2 linked regions of the Tamandua tetradactyla genome follow. The protein of the gene in region 1 interacts with the protein of each later gene in a biochemical or structural test. Links are inferred from orthologs where the notes say so. Each region holds a gene or a part of one and is shown on either strand. Other genes may lie near its edges.

The links.
Region 2: the proteins of LRP2 (region 1) and DAB1 form a complex in vitro, tested with the Homo sapiens proteins (2 studies listed by BioGRID). The link is inferred for Tamandua tetradactyla from reciprocal best matches to the Homo sapiens genes LRP2 and DAB1.

The regions. Positions count from the first base shown.
Region 1 is NC_135329.1:140,837,670-140,845,270, forward strand, and holds the start of LRP2 (low-density lipoprotein receptor-related protein 2), read right to left. Parts: upstream 3,482-7,601; coding exon 3,229-3,481; intron 1-3,228. UniProt on the Homo sapiens protein: Multiligand endocytic receptor. Acts together with CUBN to mediate endocytosis of high-density lipoproteins. Mediates receptor-mediated uptake of polybasic drugs such as aprotinin, aminoglycosides and polymyxin B.
Region 2 is NC_135328.1:163,551,138-163,559,158, forward strand, and holds the start of DAB1 (disabled homolog 1), read left to right. Parts: upstream 1-4,745; 5' UTR 4,746-4,874; intron 4,875-8,021. UniProt on the Homo sapiens protein: Signaling adapter of the reelin-mediated signaling pathway, which regulates the migration and differentiation of postmitotic neurons during brain development.

The DNA.
Region 1 (7,601 bases):
CCCCCCTTTCTGTTTGTTATCTTATCTGTAAAATAATGCAAGTGGGCCAGTTGATAATGAAGGTTTCCTCTAGTTGATAACTAAGGTCAAGAAATTGCTTTAAATAACTATTAAACAGGACAGGCACATGGTAGAATGGAGTTAAGGCAGAAGCCCTATGGACTGGCAAGGAAGAACTTCAAGCAAAGAAAGGGAAGCCATCTACTCTGTGATGGATCCAAAAGTTGTAATTTTGTTGTTATTGGCCCTGCAGCCCTTTTTTAGATATATAAAAGTCACCCAAAGATGTAGCAATCATAAAATACTTATACTAAATAGGACACACCCAAACTTTTATTAAAGAAAATAACTTTAACGTCATTACTATTTTCAAAAATCAAATATCCTGGGATACATGGAAATCTCAAAGAAATGTTAGTAAAAAGTGCTTAAACATTCCTATGTACTTTTGAAAACCGGAAGTATGAATAGAAGGTAAAAGTTTTAGTACAATAAAAATAGCTATTAATCATTGTCTACCTTATGCCTTTCTAAGCACTTTGTATCTTGTTCTGTGCTCATAAAATGTCATGGTATAGGCATTCCAATTTGCAGATACTTCACTTTGTGTAAGTGAAGTGACTTCCTTAAGGTCATACAGAAAGTGGTGGAGCCATTATCAAATCCAGACAGCTTGACTCCAGAGCCCAAGATCACCCAAATTATTTTCTTAAAAAACTGTATGTGAAGTATGAAAAAAGTGCAAATACACTACAGATGTGGTATAATTAAAAAAAAAAAAAAAAAACCTGCCAAAGATATTTGCAGTTCTTTTCCAATTTCTAATGATTCCGAGTTTGCAGTAGGGTTCCTTCCTAAAATATGGAGATATAAGGGCATCTACAATGCCATCACACTTTACGTCATCTGATAAATCAGGATCAGTACAAGAATCCAGGAATTCCCTCACCCTTCTAACTGAGGATATTTAGAGTAGCTGTATCTAAAAATAGTTAAAGTAGAAAAGACTGGGAATGTGGAGATTTGGGAAAACTGTAAACAGTTTCTCTAAAAATATCCATATTTAATGAGGCAGGTGAATTTTACCTTGGTAAAGACTTGCAAAATGCCCCCCAGTTACTTTAGAACTTCTCATGTAGATACTGGGAGAATGACATTTTTAATTCAAAAGAAAAATAGAGAAAGCTAATACTGTGGTGCAGCAGTTAAATCGTGGACTCTGGAGTCAGAATTCTTTGGGTTTGCCTCACAGCTCAGCCATTTCCTAGCAGTATGACCTTAAGAAAGAAAGTTCTATGCCCCAGTTTTCTCATCTGTGAAACAGGGATAATAAATAAGAGTACCTACTTCCAGGGTTATTATAGAAATTAACTGAGTCAGTGACTGTAAAGTACTTAGAATAGAGCCTGGCACATGTAAGTATGCGATATATTGCTATTGCTATATAGATCATCATTATATATTTTTACTAGAGAATGATAGATGTAAACTATCAAGCATAAGTACACATTATTTAATGACTAGGTCAACCCAGTGGAGAGTTCTGGATTTTGATTGTCCCAAGGCATTACCAAAGGAATCTAGTCAAGATTTCCTTTTGCTGGGCGTTGACAGAACATACTGTAAATCCTATGACTATATTTAGGACATAAGCTACATATAACCCAAAGCACTGTTCCATCTCAGAAGAAATTTTCCAGATAATGAGCATATTTTTCTTGTGTTTACAAGACTTTTACAAGTGTTACCAAGTGTTCTTGGTTAAAGATTTTTGAAAGACCAATGAGGTCTATTGGCGTTTCCAAACTTACTTCTTCCCAGTTAAGTTCGAAATGGGTACTGTTAGGAGTTGCTGTATAATTACTTACTTGATTCCCTCTAAGGAGCTTATGCCAAGAATTGAGGGGGAAAAAGCAGATTAACTCTTTGAATACAAGCCACGGCCCATCCACAAGCCCTCCCCTCCCCCCCCCCATAAGTGGGGGCTTCCACGTCCTCACCAGTCAACCCCAATACGTGATCCAAGGAAATCAATTTATTGCTTTGGTTAATCCTACAACAATAGGAGTCTCATTTTCATTGTAGGGCAATTAAGTTGTCCGAAGAGAAGGAGGGAAAAGCGGGGACTCTCCCATCCCCACCCCACTCTGTCTGTCTGATGGTGGGTCACACGCAGCTCCCGGCTGCTACCTAGCAACGCAAAGCCAGAGAGAGAGCTCGCGGGTTCCCCCGCCTCCTCCTCGCCCTTCGCCCTTCCCATTCATCCCCGGTCGGTCTGTCTCGCGCGCGCGCCCGCTTGCTTGCTCGCTCGCTAGCTCTCGCTCTCTCTTTCTCTCTCCAACGTTCTTTTCAAACTCGCTCTCGCACCTTCTCTCCCTTTTCCTCTCTAGTTTCTTCCCCTCTTACTATTTTTATTCTCTCTTTCTCCTTCTCTTTCCCTCTCCTGTTTCTCAAAAAAAGTAAACTCTCCGACAATCTGAAGTTTAAAGCACGTCAGACCAGAAAATTTGTGCCTTCTAGCTCCCAAAACTGGTCGCGCAGACAAGCTCCATTCATCAACACGAAAAAATCCACCTCCCGGGTTGGAAATGAAAACCCTTCAAGAAAATACTCTTGTGTATCAGCTCTCTCTCGGCCAATCACACATCTCGGCCTTATCTCGGCTCGTAAACGATCTGTATCATGAGATGCAGTCTCTTGGGGGTCACCGCGGGACCGAGTTCCACCGGTGACTGGGGCGAGGGGAGGGGATACTTCAGACCAAAGCCCTGGGCGGGCAAAGGGATCCTCCCCGGCCCGCGTTTTCCACCTGCACAGGGAGAGGTCCGCTCAGCCACGGCGAGGATAAATCCGCGGCGGGTTAGCAGGCTGAGGATCCGCGGCGGAGAACCTCATTCTGCTGGGTTCCAACGGCAAAGTAGTTTCCGAAAGAATCGGGAATATTCCCGGTGGGAACAGTGATGGGTTACCCGTGGGGTACGTTTTCTCAAGTTTGCGGCTGCACAGTTCTCAGCTGGGCGAAGGAGGGGCGCTCCGCCTCTTGCGGCTGGAGGGGCAACCTGAGCGCCCCAGTGGGAGCCGCTGCGGCGCCGCCGCCCGCTGGGGCCCCTGCCCGGGCGCGCTCCCCTCCGCCCACCCGCTGTCGGGGACGTCCTCCAGCGGACTCTACCCTGCCACGGCCCACGAAGCCCAATGCTTAACGCGGGGTTCTGACTGACCGGCGCTTACCTTCGCCTCTTGCCGGCGCCAAGCAGGTTGCGAGCGCCAGCAGCAGCGTGCCCGCCACCGCCGCCGCCCGGCGCTCCATCCCCGCGACGGTCCCCGCGCGCTGCCGCCGCGGTCTGTACCTCGCCGTTCCTTCCCCGCGAGGTGGGCGCGCGACGTACTCAGTTAGGTCTGCGCCTCCGCTCGCGTGTGCTCCTTTAGTAGAGCACCTCGGCCGGTTCCAGGTGACGAAAAGCCGGCCGGGCTCTCCAGGCATCAGGTTTTCTACCCGCGCCAATCCCCACCCTCCCGACAGTGCCGAAAGCCCTTTAGGCAGGGCCGCCCCGGAACTAGCATGAGGGAATCTGGCGGGGCAGGCCGCCTGCCGCCCATCCCGCCCCCTGCACTTTGCAGCGCCGGGAGGAGTGGGGACTCAAGCACACGTGCGCTTACACATGCACACTCCACACAGTCACACACACACACTCACGCCCACATTCATGTGCTGATAGACTCACACTCGCATTCACAGTTGCACATTTCTCACTGTCACACTCACAAACATGCAGTTCTCACAGTTATACGCGGGACACGCACTCCATTCATACTCAAACACTGACAGTGACTCACATGTGCATACATACTCCTCAGTCACACAAATGGCACACTCGCACTCGGGCACGCTCTGTCTTCCCCTCTCTGCAGGATTTGCCCTAGCACCAAAGCCAGCTGTACAGCGTAGGATAATCTCTCCCGAACATAGTTTTAAAGACTAAACAGTAATGGAGAGAGAAAAAAAAAAGAAAGTCAAAAGTAGGGGAAAAAAGAAAAAAGGAAGAGATGAAGAAGGAAAAAAAATCAGGAAAAGTAAGAGAAGGTGGAAAGAAAGGGAAGGGAAAGAGGAAGAAGGAAAAAGGGAAGTGAAGAAAGTAAAAGAGTTTGTTGGAGAGATTTGTCACCTTCCTTCCTGGTTTGAAATCTCTGAGCTCCCTCTGATACCCGGATTTCCCCTGATAAATTTGAGGCTGCTGAGATGGTGTCCTGTGTTTTCAAAATTTGGGAATGGGCAATTAATTCTTAAATTGTATAGAGTTTCTGTTTGGGTTGATCGTAAAGTTTTGGAAATGGACTGTGGTGATGGTAGCACAAGTTTATGAATAATATATTCATAACTCATTAATTATATATTTGAATCTGGTTAAAAGGGGAAATGTTAAGTCGTATATATATATATGCTACCAGAATAAAAATTTTTAGGAAACAAAATGTAACACTGTACAACATAATGAACCCTTTTGAAACACTTAACTATATAGTTAATAGTATAATTATTAAAAAATATGCTTTCATGAATTAACAAATATACCATACTAATGCAAGGTATTAATAATTGGGTGGTAGATAGAAACTCATTACTTTTCTGTAAACCTACAACTTCTCTAATAAAAAAGAAAAGTTGGGGAAGGGGTCGAATCCTTGTTTGGCTTTTAAGCACCACATGTATAGGTATCACGGCTGGGTTGTGCGTCTACATTTGCAGTGCAATTCATTTTGAAGCAAAATTGAAAAGAATGAACATTATCTCCGTGTGCTGGTGTCCCTTTACGTGAGGGAGAAACACAAGGGAGTTCAAAGCGTCGCCGGTCCGGCCCCCGAGAACATTACGAGTGAGCCTTACACTCGCCCCCAGAGCACCGTCCTTCGCCAGTACGTGACACCAGAGCGAAAAGATGGACGGTTGGTGCAACCTACACCCCGGCCGTGGGAGCTCTCTGTGAGGAGGGGGTGCTTCCGGATCTGGGGTCCTCCCAGAGCCTCCCGCCGGAGTCCCTGAACCGCGAACCGGCTCGGCAGCGGGGCCTGAACGCCGATTCCTGGTGCTAAAGGGCAGACGTCTTCCCATAGCCAGAGGGGCGGTAGAGGCGCAGCTCTGGCTCCACGTGGTCCGCCTCGCCCTCCCCAAGAGCGAGGACCTGCTGGGAACCACCTGCCCCCTCCTCCCAGAGCACCGATTGTCTGGGGCTCTGCTGACCCCAACAGTCTGAAGCTCGCAGCGTCCGTGGGCTTTCAAGAGTTTATACAACTTGGGTGGGGGGTGGAGGGGAGCGGGAATGAAGGTACTGTTACTTTTGAAAGACCGAGAGAGAAGATTTAGACCAAAACTAAAAAAATGTAGGATTATGAAAAAGCGGGAGGGCTTTCCTGGTTAGATTTGGAACTTCAGAGTTCTCTGTTCTGGTCAAAGCGCCTCCCTTCACAGCGTCTGGCGCGGTGCGGTGCTGAGGAGGAGGCAGGATTGGGGACCCGAGGAGCAGAGGGCTGGAAAGCGGGGGGGATGACCCGGGTAGGGAGGAGGGAAGCGGTGAGGGGCGAGATGCTGCACTTCAGTCTCTGTGGGTGATTTATGCCGGTTCCGGGCTGACGGGGCGTTGGTACTAGACCGCGCCAGGGTCAGGCGGCTCCGACTCCCGCCGGGGCAGCGCTGCATAGTCAATGAGCGTCTCTGCACCTCCCAGTTACAAAGAGCTGCTGCTGGCTCTAGGGAGGCGTGCGCAGATGAGCGGGCGACCAGAGCGAGGACCCTAGGTGCGGGGTGGGGGGAGAGGGGGAGCCGGGGGGCAGGTCTCCCTCGCACGCCGAGAGTGGGCGCGCAGGAGCGAGCGCCAGCCTGTGCAGGCGCGCGCGTGCTTGTGTGTGTAGCAGCCAGGGCTCCAAACATTCCTTTCTGCACTGAAGGGTTTTCCCAATTGTTGTTGTCTTTGTGCTCCAGTGTTGCCAATTTACTGAAATTCCTAACGTGGTTGCACAGCAGGGCTCGAGCTGACAGAACCAGCCAGCTGCGCTTGTGTATGGGGCCTATCTTCTGGTTAATCCCAGAATAACCGAAGGGAGGGAAGAGCGGGCAGGAGGGAGGGAAACAGAAAAAGGGTGTGCATGGGGGACCACTAACTAAGTAAGGGTCATCATTCCCAACAGTGTGATGTTAACTCACACGTTCAGATTCTTTGCCACAAGAAAATTCCATTCTCTCAACGCAAATCCCAATCTCGTGGCATTTAGAAACAGGCAGCTTGTGTAGCTTGTGTCAAACACGTGTTTATTTATGGTGTTTATACTTAAAAATGCTCGTTGCTAGATTTGAAAAATTAAACTTGTGAACCAGCAACCGGCAAGACACAGGCTAATTCCTTATACAATTGTGATTAAACCAGCATCGTGATTTCTTTAGATTTCACTAAGGTGAAATCTAAATATATATATTATATATATATATATATGAATGGTATTAACAGCACAATTAACTAAAAGAGTCACAGAGGAAAATGCTAAAAAGTGAAGTTTATTCCAGTAAATTTATGTCAATTTGCTTCCTATGTTTTTGGCTTGTGTCTATTACCTTGCATGTTCACCTTGGCATCCATTATTGGAAATATTTTCAGAATATTTATTCCAATCATGAACCAACTTCTGCTTCCTGCCTGAAGTGGGCATGAAGTTGTATAATTATAGTGGGTAAAGTCCAACTTCAGTTTGCTATTTGACCAACCCAGTTTGCTTCCTGAGAGCCAAAGAATCAACAGTCCACTGGACAACTCCAATCTGTTATTCCCAAGACCTGGAACTCAACACAATGGAGCCTGAACATACGAACTTCCAGTGTTCTCTATCTCTGTAAGGACCAGCATGCAACCCATTGTTTTTCTTGACTCCACCCTCTTTCCCCCACCACAACCATGTACACTCAGTCATTAACTCTGTTAATTCAAATTCTTCAGTCCACTCACTTCTCTTGCCAGTAGCTACTAGTTTTTCTCATCTGAATTATGGCAAGATCTTTATAATGGGCTCCTTGCTGTCGCTTTTGCTCCTTCCCATCTCTTTTTCTTTTAGGAGCCATAATGATTCAAAGAAATAGTTTCACCAGACTAGTGATTTCAAATAAAGGTCATTACCTATTAAAGAGTTATGCAATTAATTTAGTAGGTCAAGACCCGAATTGTTTTTTAATGACATACAACCAAGTAGAAACTAAAATAACTTTCATGGGGAAAGAATATGTATTGTTTCATATTTACTGTGTAACCATGTAAAATATATTTCTTATATATTCCTGTCAAAAAAAAAAAACCTGAAATATCTCTCCACAAATTACTTATTTATTAATTAAAAAAGGAAAAATAGTAACTTCAAGTGAAGAAAACCAGCAGACACCACAGTGACCAAGTAACCGAATTCAATATAAGAAAGTTAACATGGAACAAACTGGCATCATGTGCCTTCTGATATGTGGCGCTGTGAAGGAAGCAGAAATAGCAGTACTTTTACGGCATTCTTACCAAAAATGCACAACAGGAATCTAATCAAGAGAAAAGTCCATTGTGAATTACTGGTTATGT
Region 2 (8,021 bases), on another chromosome or scaffold:
ATGGGTACCACTGAGGCAAATGACAAATATCTACCAGAACTCTAAAATAATAGCCAAAAATTAAATGATAACTGTATCCCTTTCTATGCTGATTCTTCCCTGTTTCTATACTCCCTAAGTATCAGAAACTCAGCCATGTTTTTATAGCTTTGAGCCCACCTATTTCTCCAAGCACTAATATCACCTTAAGCTCCCCTTTATGAGTGAAAACATTGTGGGGGGGGGATGTAGTGGGACACAAGAGGCCTTTGACAATCATTTTAGCTTTCTACTTGTTTTCTATTGTGCTTTAAGCTAAAAAGAGCAGACTGGTGACATAAATACTGTTGCATTGTTGCTGCTCTCCTTGACCCCTCTTGGTGTGTGTGTAGCAGGGGTGGGGGTGGGGTGGGGTTAGAGGGTAGGGGGGGGTGGGACAAAGAATGCTATTTAAAGCTACTGTCAACCAGAGTCAGGTTTAATAATATTGCTATGCAACCTTTCCCTGGAATTAAGCAAGGCCAGTAACATAGGTATCATGAAAGAAGATAAATTCTTTTTTAATGAAGACACATAGAAATATTTTTTTTCATAGGATTTTTAATCTTAGAAGAAAAATAGGAATTGGATATTTTACTTGTGTCCAGTGCACACAAGCAAAGTATGCCAAATGTGATTACTTTAAGGTTTGCAAAATATTTATCTCCTTTTTTTTTCCTGTTTTTTTTTTTTAAAGTGATCCCTTTAATTTTCATGCTAAATTCCATTCTCCTGAATATGGCAAATAAGACCTTTTATAATTTGTTCTCGCTCCCTTATCTAGATTCAACTATGCCCTGCCTCCCACCCCCAGAGAAAATTCTCTATGCACTTACTCTTTTCTTTGCCTGGAATGCCTTCCCTGCCTCATCTGGTCACCCAGTTATCTTTCAAGATGGTAACACCTCTTTCACAAAGTCTTCTTAACTCTTTACCTGAGTTAGATGCCCATGTTTGATGCTCCCCGAGCACTCCGTACTTGTCAGTATTATAGCATTTATCACAATTTAATGTGATGATGAGTTTCCTTCCCCTAGCTATGAATTCTTTGAGGGCATTTTTTTTTTCTTTCTTTCTCTAACATTGTGCCTGACAAAGAATAAGCATTAAGTGAACATTTGTTGAATGAATAGAATTTTCTTCCCAAAATACAGAATCTGAGTGTGAATATGAATCTCAATGAAAGGGACAATGAGAGGCTTAGATAGATTTGGAATTAACCTTGGAATCTGTGTGTATGTAGTAGTATACTTTGAGCACCTAAGATCTTCCATGAGCCTGATAGGGATAATCCTACTGGACAGGTTTAACAGTTTTATTAATTTGAGAGCTTTATATGTATAGAAACTTTAGCATATTCTTGGTGTATGTAAGCACTACAAACTATTAAATAAATAGAGATTATGTAATAATTTGAAAACCCCAAAGCTTGCAACACAAATCAAGATATTATACTCTTTACAATGAGAAGCATATTTGGAACAATTATAGGAATAAACAGAATTGTAAATGCTATGTAATACACAGAATGGACTACTTTGCTTTCCCCTTTTCAGAGGAGTAGTTATTTGGCAGGATTTATGATTTTCAACATTTGGTTAACCATGGGTCAGTCTTAAACAGCACTTACATAGGCTGCCCTTTTGAGTATCTTGAGAATCCTGTTCATAGGAATCAATTATGTGAAGGTTCAATAATGTTCCTTCTCACCCATGTGCATGCTACCCATGTCCATGTCTTTTATTAAATTGACTCTGAGTTCCTTGAAGATGGGGTCTGTTTCTGATTTATCATCATTATCCCCAATGCCTAGCACAGTGCCCGAAAAGATGGCATATACTCCACAAATCCTCCTTAAATTAAAATGAACAATGTTGGAATTATTTTGGGAAGAAAATAGATGTTTATTGTGCAACTTATACAGTGCAAGACATGTCCAACATGCCATCTCATTTAAGGCTCACAGCAATTTCATGAAGCAGGTATTGTGTAGTTGAGAAGTTTGAAGTTCAGAGAGGTAAGTAACTTGCCAAAGATGACTGAGGCCCATCAAAATCCATACTCTACCCAGTACAGTACCCAATAAGAGTACTTCCTTCACTGGGCTGTCATGTAGGTTAAATGAGTTAATATATGAGAAGCACACAGAATGGGTCCTGAAATAGAATAAGTGATATATAAATGTTTGCTCTTGATCATCTGGTTAGTCTGCTGTTTCTCAGAGTAGATGATAAAGAAATATTTATCAATTATTTTTTCTTATCTTGCACTTAATACAAGTGACATCATTGCCAGAAACCTAAATAATAATAGAAAAATCACCCTAAATTTTAGATGAGTAGTCTGACATGTTTAGCATAATAGTTTAAGAATACTGCGTTAAGATTTGTTTTAAGTTTCATCCAGAAGACCACTAGGCCCTTGCTGGGCAGCTTGTATGCCATCAGAATCTATAGATTATGCTTTCTTCCGGTCTGGAGTGAGGAACAGCTGCAGTGTCTTGCCCTTTTGGATTGCATGGGAATGTGCCCAGTTTCCACAGTGGACCCAGTCCAATGCTGAATAGAGATTGAGTTTTAACTTTATCCTCTTTCCCTTTCTACTCCTCAGCCAACTTGGTGTCCTGCATTCCCTTCAAAGTCTGTAATCACAACATCAGTCCAACACAGGACCTGATGGAAGACAGGAGGAGACAATTCACATATGCAGGGCTAAATGCATGTGAATGTTTTTTTATGTTCCATGATTGCCCTCAAAGCATGGAGAAATTTCAGAGTGTTTCTTGGTAGAGTCAGTAAAAAGTTGTATAGATGGTCCATTAACCACAGCTTGACATTTGTCCCAGCTACCCCTCCCCCCATTTCAGTCATAGCTTCTCTGAATTGTCCATGTCTCCTAAGTTCTGTCTTTATAGACAAGGAAAAGCCTGGCCAGCCTGAACTTCATACTGAATGAAACTGAAGTGATAAGGTGTCAGCTCTTCCTACTCTCTAGAACGCTGGGAAGATTTGAGAGACTTGAGCCCATTTTCCTGGTCCCCCACTCTTTGCTGGCTACCCCCAGAAGTAAGTTGGAGCAGGGTAGGATCAGGGGTGAGGACCCTCTCTCCCCCACCACCTCCACACACCTTGTTGGGAGTTTCCTCTGATCAACTAACTATTCTCCTAAGATTGCACCCTGCCAGTGACCTCACACATTTTTCTTGTCTCTATGTAAATTGCTATCTTTTCAGGAGGTGCATGACAGCCTCCGATTGTACGGCCTCCATTTGTACAGAAGCTGTTATTACGGAATAAGTTTAATGGGTCGTGAATTTTGTGGAGAAAGGGAGGGTCTCGCGATGACTTCGTATGTACCAGTCATAGACCTATTGGCTCCATAAGGAGTGCATTAGGCTAAATATTTTTAGCCCATTGACTTTGGAGGTAATAACCCTAAATGCTTCATTAAATTTTCATGGGTGAGCTACAGAAGCTATGAGGAAAAACAAAAACCAAATCCACCACATTAGCTTTATTATTACACAGCTGGAGAAGAGGAGCATAGCCCCTAAAAAGGAATACAAATAAACTTTTTAAGGAACTACTGACTGCCCCTTCCTTTCCTCCTGGCGCCCTGCTCCAGCAAGGTAGCGCTTGGTTTGAGTCCCTACCCTTCCACCCCCCACCCCCCCACTCACCCCACAGCCCCCTGCATCTCGGCCTCTAGAGACAGGAATGGTGCAACAGGCATTTAATGGTGTTGAAGAATTTACTGGAGCTGAAGAATTTTCAGAATATATTTTCTGCAATTTGGCGTTCTTAAGATCTCCGTAAAATATGGCCCAAAGCAGGGAGCGACTGAAGTGTATACGCTGGAGCATTCTCCCGCGCAGGTTGAATTCAGCGATCTAATCTACGGATTGTGTACTCCCAGGCATTCTAAGAACCGGAGCTAGGGTGAATTGGGGCATATTCTCGGGGGTGTTGACTCCTCCCAGGACCGATGAAAACCAGACAGACGCACATCTTTTTTAGCCCAAGTTTGCCTCGGGAGTTTCAGTAACAACAGCAAGAGCCGAGAGCCAGGGTAGGCGGCTGAGAACCAGCGCCCCCTCCTGCAGAGGGGCATGGGGGCAACACAACCCCGTGAGACTTCCCTGATTTTTTTTTTCTCGCCCACTGGCACTTTTTATATATTGGTATGTGTGTGTTTTGAGGCTTGGATAAAAGAGAAAAATGAGGGAGGGTCGGGCGGGGGCTGCTGGTGGTGGCGGTGATGCTGGCGAAACGACGGATACTTTTGGGAACCCGGAGTCTGGTTGCTTTTAGCCCTCCTCCTTCTCCCAATCCTGTCTTCGTCGGCGCAGCTGGGGCGGGGACCCGGTGCTCTCTGATCCACTCACCCCCTTCCACGCCGGGATGGGAAGTGAACGCAGGGGCTCCAGAGACGCGACTGCGAGCCGCGGCGCCCCCGCTCGCTCGCTTTTCCTCCTGGCTGTTGCCACCGCGACTCGCCTAAGCTCTCCGAGCGCGCTCGGGCGGCGCACAGAGCGCCCCAGCGGGAGCCCGAGCCCTAAGGCTGAGGCACGCGGCGCGCCGCGGGACCAAGGAGGTGAGCGAGGCCGCTGGGCGCCGGGCGGGCGCGGGGGGCCTCGGGGCGGGGGCCGGAGGAGGAGGCGGGTCTGCGCGTGGGGCGGTCTCCTCCCCCTGCTCTGACGCCAGGCCCGTGGCTCCCGGGGAGGATGGACCCTGCACCGCGCTCGCCGGGGCTTCCCCGGACTGGAGAGAGCGCCTGAGTCCCGTCGCCCAACCGGCATGGGGAGCCGCTTCCTGGGCGGCTGCGGCAGCGGAGGAGGATGTTGTCGGCGAGCCGAGGTGAGGCGCGGCGAGGGCACGCGGCAGCCCTAGAGTTCAACCCGGACAGGTGCCGGGCGGAGACACAGCGCCCGGACACCTGGCGTGTCTCCGCTGGGGACCCCGGGGCTCCCCTCTCGGGAGTTTGGCAGAGGGCGCTGCGTGGGTATGGCGACTGCAGCAGTTTACCGCTCGCTCCCTCCACTTGCTGGAGTGGGGGAGAGGGGCGACCTCTGCTCCTTCCTCCCGTCCTCTCTCCTCCCGCAATCTCCGTACTTCTGGCCACGCGCGATCCTCTTTCTAGACTTGCTCACTCAGAATTGCTGGGCTGTCTCCGGATCCGCAGCATCCTCCCTCTTGGGGTCCCAGCTCTGTCCATCTACGAGCTTTCCTTCTCCCACCCCAGAACCTCATCTGTGGTCCCGGACCCTGCTCCTCTCTCACGAGCAGCGCACCCAGTCCCGGACGAATCGTATTCTCACTTGCCTGCTACCTGGCAGCGCTGCGGTTCTGCCTGGACCTGTCGGAAAACCGGATCTGTCCTAGTAACCGCCAACCCTTCCATGTAAATATCAGGGCTGGACCCCACGTCTCTTTGGGCCCCAGCCTTCCCTGGGTCCTCCGTCGGCTCAGATCTCTCCGGCTCCTCGGTCCCTCCTTCCTTCCCATTTTTACTTCTCGGGCTCCACGCCATCCCGATACCTCTCCTCTCTAACCCTCCCCTGTCTGCTTCAGACTCGATCGGCCTCGGATGCAGAACTCCGATTTTTGTTTTTTGTTTTTCCTCCTATTGGGGAAACTTTAAATAAATGCCCGTGGTTCGGCGCATAAAGGAGCCATGAAAAGGGGTTCCTAACCTCTGAGAGAACCGGTAGTCAGAGAGTGAGAAATGGGGGGGGAGGGGGGGGGAGGTTGTGTCGCGACGTCTGAAAGGGCCCGGGCGGGTGTAGGAAGTAGTACATTTTTAAAACGGGGGTGTTTGCTGCAGCCAGGACCCTCCTCCCCCACTCGCTCCGTCCCGCCAAGTGTTATTGTGACCCCTGCTGGGAGGGCGCGTCTTTTCTCTGCACTTCCTAAGGCGCGTGGTTTTTCTTTTTCTTTCCTTTTTTTTTTTTTTTGTTTTTTTTTTTTTGGTGCTGGTGGTCAGAACCCGACTGAGGTCTGGGAGAGGGTGGGCACTGACTGCCTCGCGAGACCGATGGCACTTGGCTCCTGCGCAGCTCCTCCCGGCCCGGCCAGACTGTGTACGTTTCACTCCGTAGAAACCACCCCCCAACTGCATCACACAAGTCCTCATTGTTGGGGGTCTGCTGCCTTGGCACTTCCGCCTTGGCGGGGAGAATCTGAAGGAATGGAATGGGGGTGGGGAGGCCGGGGGCGCCGGGCGTCCGTGGCCTGGCTGTTGCCCGAGGGTCCGCAGCCCGCGGAGTGGCGGGTGCCGCCGCGCGAGTGTGTGGCGGTGAGGGTGGGGTGCGTGGGTCGGTGCCTGCGCGTGCGTTTGGATGTCGGTGCACGGCCGTGTTTTAGCGCGATCAGAAAGAGGGGCGAGTCGAGAGCTCGCTGAAGCGAGAGCGCCTTTCAGTGCCCCGGAGCTGGGCGGGCGGGTACCAACTCTGAGATGGATGCTACAATGCAGTTCCTAGCGTACCGGCGGGGAACCGAGCGAGAATCTGCTCTGCTGCTTCTCCACCCACTACCCCCCTCCTGCTCCCCTCCTGCTGGCCCATTAGATGCACTTTCACAATGTTGATGGTTTTGGATAAAGGCCTTGTAGGGGTTCAGCTGACACTTCATAACACTTAACATGTTTTCAAGTAATCATATAAATTAAAGGTAGCTTATGTTCAGAACCCCCTAATTATCCAGTTCGCGTTTGTACATTTATGTGCCAATTATAGGTATTCGGGGGAAATCCATAAAATTATAAACCATCTCCACCCCCTGAATTAGCACCCATTGTTTATTATTATTGTTTTTTTTTAAATCAATCTCAGCGGTGAGTGATTTGGGATGGAACCCCGAGTTTCAGTCAAGAAGATGCAAGGGACGGGGGAGGGAGAGTTTGGAATAGGAACAGTCCCCCCCCCCCCCCCATCTCTTTCACTCCCTATCTTGACAGGGCTTGGTGACAATTCTGGAAACTGAAAGGGATCAAAGATTTTCTTGATTTCCTATTGAGAAGGGCGACCTAATCAAAGCTGTATAAAAGTCAACTTCTGAGCAATCAGAAATTGTCTGCTGATGTCCTTGATTGAAACCCCAGCATTCAAATGGAGTATTGAAGAACTCCCAGAAATGGCTTTTGAAGAGCTATTGTTCTTTTCCACACACACAGACTCTTTTAAAGGTTGTAGGAAGTTTAAAATGTAGTGGTTTGAAAAGACAGACATTGTAACTATTTGGCAAGAATGGTTAGGATCTGCAGGGATGAGAGAAGAGGCCCAGGTGGGAAGAGTAAACTTGTTACTATCTTCTTGGGAACAGTGACACTATCGAGTGGAATTTCAGTTCTACACATGGAATTGGCAATTAAATGTCTTCGTAAAGCAGATTTAGAAGATGATTTTTACTAGCTTTTTATTTTTTTTGGTGGTTTGCTTAAGGTCTGAATAGGCATATCTGAAACATTTAATCATGTTCATTGTATTCAACAATAAAATCTGAATAAAAATTACTTATTGTTGATGAAGCTCATCTTGCAAGCTGTTGCACAGTATGTCTCCGTTGCAAGACACAGGATTGTGTGAGGCTGCCGGAAAGAGATTCTATCACTTATTGTTCATTTTCTCCTCCCAAAGCCAGAGAGGAACATGCTTCTTCACTCCTCTTTGCCGTCCAAAGTAATTTTTCTTAAATGAGTGGGTGTTTGGCTTGGTACCTGATAGTACCCATCTTATAAATTGCATTTGGTGAATTTCTGATGCCCAAAGCCACCCTGCAGGCAGATGAAGAAACTAATTGAGGCAGCATTTCATTTTGATGATTCACTCAAGTCAAATATTTTGTTTTTGGTGGAATTTTAATCTTTCTCTCGAACTAACAAAGCTGACAAAGCAAGAAAATCAACTTATGTCTTTTAGATGGGCACTTTAAAAAGTGACATAAATTAAAGGGGTGTTGTCATGAACTTTCAATCTGTTATTTAGGATTTACTGTGACGAAGGCTGG